Ovis aries: one gene and its partner. The protein of the gene in region 2 interacts with the protein of the main gene of each other region in a biochemical or structural test. Links are inferred from orthologs where the notes say so. Each region holds a gene or a part of one and is shown on either strand. Other genes may lie near its edges.

Region 1 (4,458 bases), on a different chromosome or scaffold from region 2:
ACCAAAATGTATAAAGAATTGATTCCCCATGTTCAAAGCTCCTCCATTCTTGTTTTAAAATAAAAAGTGGATTTTTAATGTTCTCGAGTCCCAAACAACAACTTCTGGCAAACCTCCGACAAAAATTCATGCATCCATCTTCATTTCCAAGAGCATTCAAAAGCAACTGAGAGTTCCTTCACATTCTTCCCCATTACAAGGCAGTCTCTCCTCTAATTGATGAAATTTGCACCTAATGGGAAATCTTCCTTTGAAAGGAGTCTCCTCATTCGAACGCTTCTTAAGTCAAGTTCCTGAGCGGAGGAGTTTGGCTATCAGATTCACAAGTTTCTGCCGGAAATTCAGTTTGTCTCCAATTCTCCTCAACTGAATGGCACACTCAACTTCAGGATCTGAAAAGGAAAGCAAAATATCAAAGTTACACTGACATTGCAAACTGCAACCAGCAAGAGTTAATAGGCCCATTCCAAGGACAAGTTGAGTATTTACGCCATAAAGCATTATCTTAACTTCATATACACTTGTTTTCTGAATGTAAAGAAAGAAAAGCAACTTATACACACACGACATACACTAACATATAGTGACTCATAAACAACATAATTAAATAATTAAACAAATATAAATAATTAAACAAATATATATATAAGAAATAATTAAACAAAAATAAAGACATTTAACTTGTGATTTTTTTTTTTTTTGAGCATCCTGGATGAAGTAATGTTATCTTACTTTCAAATATAGACATTTATGTCATACACCACAAAGAGTGAGTGAGTTTCACAGCCTCAGGTGATCTCATCCTTTTCTTTCTCACTTAAGATTGGCTAGGGAAAGAAAAGTTAAATTCTTTTATGTTATTTTCAAGTACAGCTCATTTTGTAAATGGCAATAATTCATAGTTCTGATTGTGCCCTCATATAATTATTTAAACAACTCTTTCAAGTTTTCTCATGAAAGACTCATAACAGCTTATTCTAAAATTAAGTCCCTATTTTCTAAAATAACTTAACATTTTAAAACAAGTTCTTCCCACTCTGTACCAATCCACTGCCTCTATGGAAATGAGTGAAGCAAAAAACAAATAATGTTTAGTTCACATGTTTACTATTTTTTAAGATTAAGATACTGTAATAAACTGAATATAAGGTGAAAGTAATATTTATAATCTAATTTCTAAGTAAACTTTTAAAGTAAGTGAAATCAACACCAAACCAATACTGACCATAATTACGATTTTCTTGGATAGTTCAAAAAGCAATTCAGCTTCTTTTTCGTACATTTCAATACCATGTTCATGATCACTAAAACCCATTATGACTACAAATTAAAAACTGATTTACTTTGTAAACAGTCCCTGCAAATTCCCTATTTAGGCTCAAAATAACCAAATTCTCTTTTTACAAGAGCTGGGTATTTAGTTAGAAATACTAACACAATGCTAAAAAAACAATTATCGTTCAGCCTACCGTTTTGAAAGACCTGAATTGTAACAAAAAATTATCCCTTTCATCAAAAAAAAAAAAAGAAAATGGCACCTAGTTGTTTCCTTAATCTTTTTATTACATCTATAAATGTATCAATTAAAAACATAACTATGTGTGGTGATGGATGTTAACTAAAGTTGTTACAGTAATAATGTCACAATTGATACATATATCAAATCATTAGGCTGTACACCTAAAACTAAGACAGTGTTCTACCTCACTTACATCTCAATTTTTTTGTCTTACCATCTAATCAAGTTTAAGAGGGACCTTTTTGCTGTCCCTTATTAAGGGGGGCCAAGTTGGACCGTGAAGGTTATGCAATTCTTGCAACACAGCCAGAACTCTTGGACATCACAAAAGATGGACAAAGCTTCTTCCCTCCGAAGCAGGAGCCAGAGAGCAGCCTTGTGCCAACTTAGCCACGGCCACACTGGCTATGCACCACTGCCTTTGCACGCCCCAGGGGCTCCATAAAATTAAGTGTAAAAGGGGCCCAACACTGTCTGATGCAACAGCAGTGTGACCCACACGGATTTCCAGCCCACGGTCTTACTTCCTTGCTACTGCTCCTTAGCAGATGTCTGCCTTATTTGATAAGATTTATAAAAGCGGGGAGGAGGAGAGCTGACCTGAAGTTACTTAATGGGGCTACATGGATGGGGAAGGGCGGAGGAAGGGATGGATTAAACAACACTGTGGACCATCTCCTGTTTTTCTCTATGGCATTTCTGTGATTAATACCGACTGTTAAAATGTTATGCTTTTAACGAAGAAGCCAGGCCTTCCAGGCTTCTGACGTCGTTGGTCCTTTCGGGGCTTCCTTAGCCCTCCATCCGTCCTTTGCAGAACTGTGATGGCATCAAGCGTTATTGTTGGTGCTGGGGCTGGGGACAGCGGTCAGACACACAGAAGGGTCCTCAAAAGGTGCTGGACCCCGGAGGAAAAGGGCCTGTCTCCGGAAGCGCTGAGCGCCAGCGGAGCCCCCGGGCCGTGACCATGACTTTTCTCCGCGTGGCCCCGGGGAGGGCGAGCGCGGACGGAAGGCAGGCGAAGGAGAGGAGGCTTTCGGCCGCCGCTCAAACGCAGCAGCATCCCCATCGCAAGGCTCACCCCTTCCCTCGCCATCCCCACCGCCCCGGGTTAAACCCGCGAATAGCGTCCCGGAGGCGCCCCTAAAACACGTGCCACGGCGCGGGTCCCGCCGGGCTCTTAGGCCCCGGGGCGACGGGCTGCCCCTGCCAGACCGAGACCGCGACCCAGACCCCCTTCCCGGCCAGGATCTCCGCGGGCCCCAGCTCTCCTTACCTGCCGGGACCCGCGTGGGGCTCGGCTGGGCGCTCCTACGAGCCCTCCTTCCAGGCATCTCTGCAGACGGCTGTCGGCAGACCGGGGCAACTCAGCGATGCAACCCGAGCACCTCGGGTCTGCAGGACGCGGGCTGCAAGGGGAGAACGGGCAGGAGACGACGGTCTGCACAGAGCAGGAAAAAACTGAACCGGCGCCTGCAAGAACCTCGCAGCTCTGCGATCGCTGCAGCGCGCGCTCGGGTCGTATGGGGACTTCCCGGTGACGTAGCGAAACCCACAGCGGGCCCCGCCCATGCCCCGCCCCGCCCTGGGCCCGCAACGCCCCCGGCCCCGCCCCCGGCTCGGGCCCGGCGCCGCCAGGGCGGGGACCCAGGCGGCGTGGGGCGAGCCGGGCGCAGCGGGGGAGGGAGCCTGACCCGGCCCCGCAGCTACTTCCTGGACCGAGGACTTGGCTGCAGGCGTGGCTGGGTCTCTGAGCTGCGAACCGGGAAGGGTTGTCCTCGCGAACGGCTGGAGATGGGGAGGCCTGGAGCGTCATCCCTATCATAAACGGGCAGTCGCAGACTCTCGTAAACAAACCCCTGAAGGGTTCGGGAAAGGACAGTATTCAAACTCGAGGAGTACGGGACGTTTTCAGAGAAAAATGAGAACACTTAATTACAGTAGAGAAGCTGCCGGAAGCTTAAATGAAACTGAAACTGGTTGGGAAGCTCACTGCCAACTAAAAGCCTGGAGCAAGAGAGGAAACCCTGTTTGGGTTTGGAAAATGCGTTGAGGGGGTGGGGGGAAGGAAAGCGGGTGAAGGGAAGTGGCTGTTCTCTGCCGCCGGGTGAGGACAGTGGTTCTAAAAGCAGAGTGTATTCCCTACGGGTCGGTCTCATACCTCCTTCCAGACGCTTTAATAAAACAACACCAAAAAATAGTAGGTCATCATGTAGACAGCTTTCAAAAGCTCCCCCGGGGGGGGGGGGGGGGAGAAATGAGGCATTTGGGAATACGTATTTGCCCGATGTTTGGCTGGCCCGGGAATAATTCCATTATTATAAAGAGAAGCAGTCACTCGTACTAGAGAACAGATCCTGTGAATTTGGCTCTGAGGGCTTCCGAAGACACTTTCTCATCCTGTCCTCGGAACAACCCAACCAAGCGGACATTCTCACCATTGTGGCTACTTTCCGGGTGCGAAAACTGAAGGTTTATAAAGATGAAGTGAGCTGAGCTCACACAGGCCGCGAGCAGAGGAGGGGGTCTGAACCCAGGCAGCACCATCCCGAGCAGGACGTCTTACCCGCATCTGCGGCCTTCCCAGGAATCACAGTTTCTTAGAAAATAAGTGTTCTTTATGTATGTGCGTGCGTGCAAGTCGCTTCAGTCGTGTCCGACTCTGCGACCCCATGGACTGTAGCCCACCAAGATCCTCTGTCCAGTCCATGGAATTCTCCAGGCAAGAAAACTGGAGTGGGTTGCCATGCCCTCCTCCAGAGGATCTTCCTGCCCCAGGGATCCAACCTGTGTCTCCTGTAGCTCCTGCATTGCAGGCAGATTCTTTACACGGCTGAGCCACCGGGGAAGCCCTTCTCTCTCTCTCTCTCTCTCTCTCTCTCTATATATATATATATATATATATATCTTTTATTATCTATATAATGCAGAGGTTGCAA
Region 2 (4,589 bases):
AAGACCTACTACAATGCCTCACGCATAAGATATACTCCGTAAAAGCACATTTCCTTTTCCTTTCCTGCCAGGATGCTAAATTTAGAGCATATCCGAGTGGAATGGTCCGTAATTCTTACATTCATGGATCCCCCAGGCACAGCCTCCAGGAAGGTTATGAGATGCCACTGCAGCAGCCAGTGTGCAGCTCAAACAGAATGGTCCCCGAGAGGAAGTGGGCGGCACCTTCTACCCAAAGGATCCCAGTGTCACATGTTCTCTATCTCCTGGCCTCGGGAAGAACACGTGCCCAGAAACGGTTCTGATATAACTGGCTCTTCTGCACACATCCCCTCTGTCCACCAAGAGGAAGTAACACATGGTATGCTGTTGGGCAAAGAGACAGCAGAAGATGGAATGTCAATCCAGTGGTGATCTAATGATCTTGCCCAGTGTTGCTGTGTCAAAGACCTCTTTCCACACGCAACACTGGGTGACTAACAACTCTCTGGTCCAGGTGGCCCTCTTAGACAACTGGCTGGCAGGCCAGGAACCTCTCCCATGTTGCCTTTTGTTAACAGTTGGCCACAACCCACATGGAATTAGGACCACCAGCCAGAGATAACAGTGAGGGGCAAATGGCCCAAGTCTCTACTTAGGCCTCAGAGGGTGTGTCAGAAACGCTGGAATCCTGTCCCTCCTGTAGTAAGTTAAACAAATATTTGCCCCTAAAGAAAATCAAAGCAGGAGGGAAAAAGAGAGGTCATCACACAAACCAACAGGAACTATTTAATCATTTATTCCCCCAGGGAGTTCATTTACTGAAAGGCTTTCAAGTTGGGTCAGTCTGAGCCAAAGAAAGCCCTCCACCTTTACCTTCCCAGCCCCACCCCGGTCATCTGACCTCTACTCTGCTCTTTATAAGAACTGGCAGTGGGAAGAGTTGATGAAGTTGCAAAGAAATGGGAAATAAGACAGGGGGTGGTGTACCTGGAGGTCCCTTGCTCAGTGGTAAACTGAAGTGGCTGCCACACCCTAGGCCCAGCCTCTGGATAATTGCATTCTTAACATTCCTGAGTCCATGGTGCGTGGCCCTTTCCACCTCAGCTCCTTCAATAGATGACTTATTTTCCACAGCCTGCTCAATTTTCTGAAGGACAGAATGAATACCTCTCTTAAGCCCTACACCTCCCTGAGGCAGGGAGATAAGCGAGGAGATATGACTGAGTTCACTGCAAGAGAGCAAAAGCTGCTGACAGTGACCACAGGTAAAGAATCCCTCCACACCAGCTCATCCTGACTTGGTGATATCAGGGCAAGGGAATTCTCTTCCCTGGCAAAGGAATGAGGCACGACTCAGTTTCAGAAGGTGTACCTGGATCTGACAGTAACTACTAGAGCAAACTTCCTGTCACTATGCTCACATCAGCTCCAAGATTTACAAGGACTGCAAGGCAAGAGGGTTGGCCACATTTTTTTAGTGGAAGAACCTGAGGCTCAAGGTAAACTGGCCTGTCCAAGGTCACACACCTAGTTAAGTGACAGGGCTGGGACTCACATCTGTGTCAGTTTGTTTCTGAAGTCTGTCACTGAATCTCAATGTCCCAAGGAGCCCCAAAGATCAGGTTCTTGCATTGCCAGCAAACAGTGCTCAGTGAAGAGGCCCCAGGGCCATGGCAGAAAAGTGACAAGCATAACAGCTGGAGCTCCCCAACCAACCCAGGCAGTGAGGTGCAAAGTCCCTGGGCTGACAGCAAGCGCTCCGCAAACTGGCCAACCACACAGAAAAGTCGCATACTTTAGAGCCAATAAATATGGGGCACAGCACAAACACAACTGGCCCATTGGCGCAGCTTACAACCTAAAATCAGACAATCCTCAGCCATCCAGAGGGATGCAAAGCCAGGCCATGCAAACTCTGAAATAAGGGGAACCTGATTTGGAGGAGGGAAGCCCAGGACAGGATTGACAGCTCAAGGGAGTAAGACTGAAGGGGCTGGTGGGTCACTGATATTCACTATCTTCTCCAGGCATTCCACTCATCACCCCTTAACGTTGTGAGCCATTATGTCAGGGTGAGGGGTAACCTGTTACCTTTGCATTCTCAAAGGTTTGGGGCCAAATGAACACACAGGCTATGTTATCTTCTGCAGAGAAACTGGAACACAAGTATGACAGAGTAGGGTCACGAGGAAGACCAGAATGAAGATGTCTGGTCCTCACAGAACTAGGTCATCTGTATTTCAGAAGTTAACCTCTGTGATACAAAGAGGCCAGTTATGTCTCCTTAACAAACAATAATAATCACCCAGCACAACAGACACAGGGGAAAGGTTGTTGGGGATTTGACCAGAAGCCAAGGAAAAGGAATACATAAGGGGCGTGGTTCTTACCCAGCCGCCGTTCTCCTGGATCCAAGGCTCTAGGTGGTCATTCAGGTAAGTAGCCATCCAAGTTGCGATCCGACTCACCAATACCTGCATCTCCTTGTCTACGCTTTCCACGCACAGTGCCCCACCGAAGGAGAAAAAGGCCACAATGCGACCCCAGTTCACCCCGTCCCGGAAGAGTTCATTCACTACCTGTTCAAAGCTCTGATATGCTGTCCCTGGGGTGATGTGGAGCTGGGACGTCAGGTCGCTGAATGCCCGTCGGTACCTCAGTTCAAACTCATCGCCTGCCTCCCTCAGGGCTTGCTTCACCGCTGCCATGGGGATCACTTCCCGGGCATCCAAGCTTCTGCTGTGGCCGGTGGCTCCATTCACCGCAGGGCTATCCGCCAGGTGCCAAGATGGGTTGCCATTGATGGCACTGGGGGTTTCCATATCTGATTCTGTCCCTTCTGGGGCCTCAGTTCTGTTCTCTTCCACATCACTAAACTGACTCCAGCTGTATCCTTTCTGGGAAAGCTTGTAAGAGAGAAAGTCAACCACCAGCTCCCGGTTGCTCTGAGACATTTTTATAATAAGGATGGGCTCCACCAGTCCATTGTCCAAAACACCTGCTCACTCACTGGGTCTGGTCTCTGCTTAGTGGTTCTCTTCGAAGATCCAAAGGCAAGACAAGGTTCTGAAGGGAAAGAAAGAGCTTCAGGGGGGAAAAAATGAATATGCAAGCCATTTACCTACAATATCCCATTCCCCACTCCAGGTACTTGAACTGGGTTCTCTGCCGCTCTTATGAAGATATGGGTCTAGCTTCCCAGGTACTTCGATGAAGTCAATTTGAAAGCACCAGTGGGCTCTGAATCATCACACCGGCCTTTTTTTCCTCCCCTTTTATCCCAGCCACCCCCTTTTCTCTGAAATGTCTTCCTCGAAAAGTCACCCCCATGGGCAGTCTGCCCCCCACCCCCATAAACCCTCACCACCTACATTCAAATCCGTCTCAGGCGACGGCAGGCAGGTGCAGCCCCCGGAAGATCTTTTGTATCATAGGTGGGAGAGGAGGTGGCAGCGGGGATGCCGGTAAGTCAACCGGCCTCGCGGCGGCGGCTGGCAAAAAAAGCAGCTCCGGCTGGAGGGATCATGCGACCCGGCGAACTGAGAGCTCAGGAGGCGACACAGGAATTACGAAGCTCAAGAACCGGCCCCCTCGCTTGCTTCCTCCTCCATCGCCCCGATCGAGGGCGGCCGCTGCCGCGGCCTCCTGCCACCCGGGAGCCCAGCCCCCTCGCTCTTGCACGCCCCTTGGCTCTCCGCCTCCTACTGGGAGCTAGGAGAACTCTCTCGGAGGTGGCTGGTGTGAGCTTTAGTTTTTTTTTTTTTTTTTTTCTATTTCAGTATCAGCCCTGGGTGAGGCTTCCGAAGAAACCTTGAAGGGACTTCTCGATGGGGCTCAAGGTTTCGATGAGAAACAGAGGGAGGGGAACACTGCCTTGGATCTGCGGTCTGAGTTTGGAAAGGCCATCCCCGGGCCTTTCTGGGAGGCTGAAAGCCGGAGACCCCCCAGAAACGCCGCTGGCTTTCTTTGAATTCCCCAAAGGCCCTGGTAGTGGCGGTGGCAGTGGGGGATTGCCGGGTCCTCCATTCCCCGCACGGACACAATGGCCGCCGGCGCCCTGCACAAAGACCGGGCGAGGGTGAGGCGCCGAGCCTCTCCACCGGTCAGAGACAAGGGTCGAGGCCTGCTCGAGACCCCCCACAGCTGAGACTACGTTTTCCTGGGGACAGGCCCAGGCTGGCTTCTTGGCACCCCCGGGAGCTTAGGGGCCCGGGGTTGCACCTCTCTAGAGGCCGGGGTGGGTGGGCTGCGGCCTCGCGGCTTCCTCCGCGCGCTAGGCCGGGTACCCGCCTGGCCACCGCCCCGTTGCTAGGCAACCGCTCTCCCTCAGGGGCGCCCCCTAGACCTTTCTGGGAGGTGGGGTCTCGCCCCCGGCGGCCCGCCCCGGCGTAGCCAATCAATGAGCTCAGGTAGCACGGAAGCAGAACGGCGAGGGCTCCCATTGGGCGCAGCGCCTGCCACGCACAGGGGAGGCGGCGCTCTCACCTGCGAGCCCCGGGAGCCGTGGGGGGCCACATACCCCCTTCATCGGCCAGGTCGTTTCCGGGCGCGAGAGCTCTTCGCGGCTAAGTTCCGCGCCGCGGACCGGGGCCGGCCTACCTGGCTGA

The links.
Region 1: the proteins of BCL2L1 (region 2) and PMAIP1 interact in a biophysical measurement, tested with the Homo sapiens proteins (3 studies listed by BioGRID and IntAct, with this or other methods). The link is inferred for Ovis aries from reciprocal best matches to the Homo sapiens genes BCL2L1 and PMAIP1.

What each region holds. Positions count from the first base shown.
Region 1 is NC_056076.1:59,079,376-59,083,833, reverse strand, and holds the start of PMAIP1 (phorbol-12-myristate-13-acetate-induced protein 1), read right to left. Parts: upstream 3,016-4,458; 5' UTR 2,854-3,015; coding exon 2,796-2,853; intron 393-2,795; coding exon 286-392; 3' UTR 1-285. UniProt on the Homo sapiens protein: Promotes activation of caspases and apoptosis. Promotes mitochondrial membrane changes and efflux of apoptogenic proteins from the mitochondria. Contributes to p53/TP53-dependent apoptosis after radiation exposure. Promotes proteasomal degradation of MCL1.
Region 2 is NC_056066.1:60,937,030-60,941,618, forward strand, and holds the start of BCL2L1 (bcl-2-like protein 1), read right to left. Parts: upstream 2,977-4,589; 5' UTR 2,937-2,976; coding exon 2,373-2,936; intron 1-2,372. UniProt on the Homo sapiens protein: Potent inhibitor of cell death. Inhibits activation of caspases. Appears to regulate cell death by blocking the voltage-dependent anion channel (VDAC) by binding to it and preventing the release of the caspase activator, CYC1, from the mitochondrial membrane.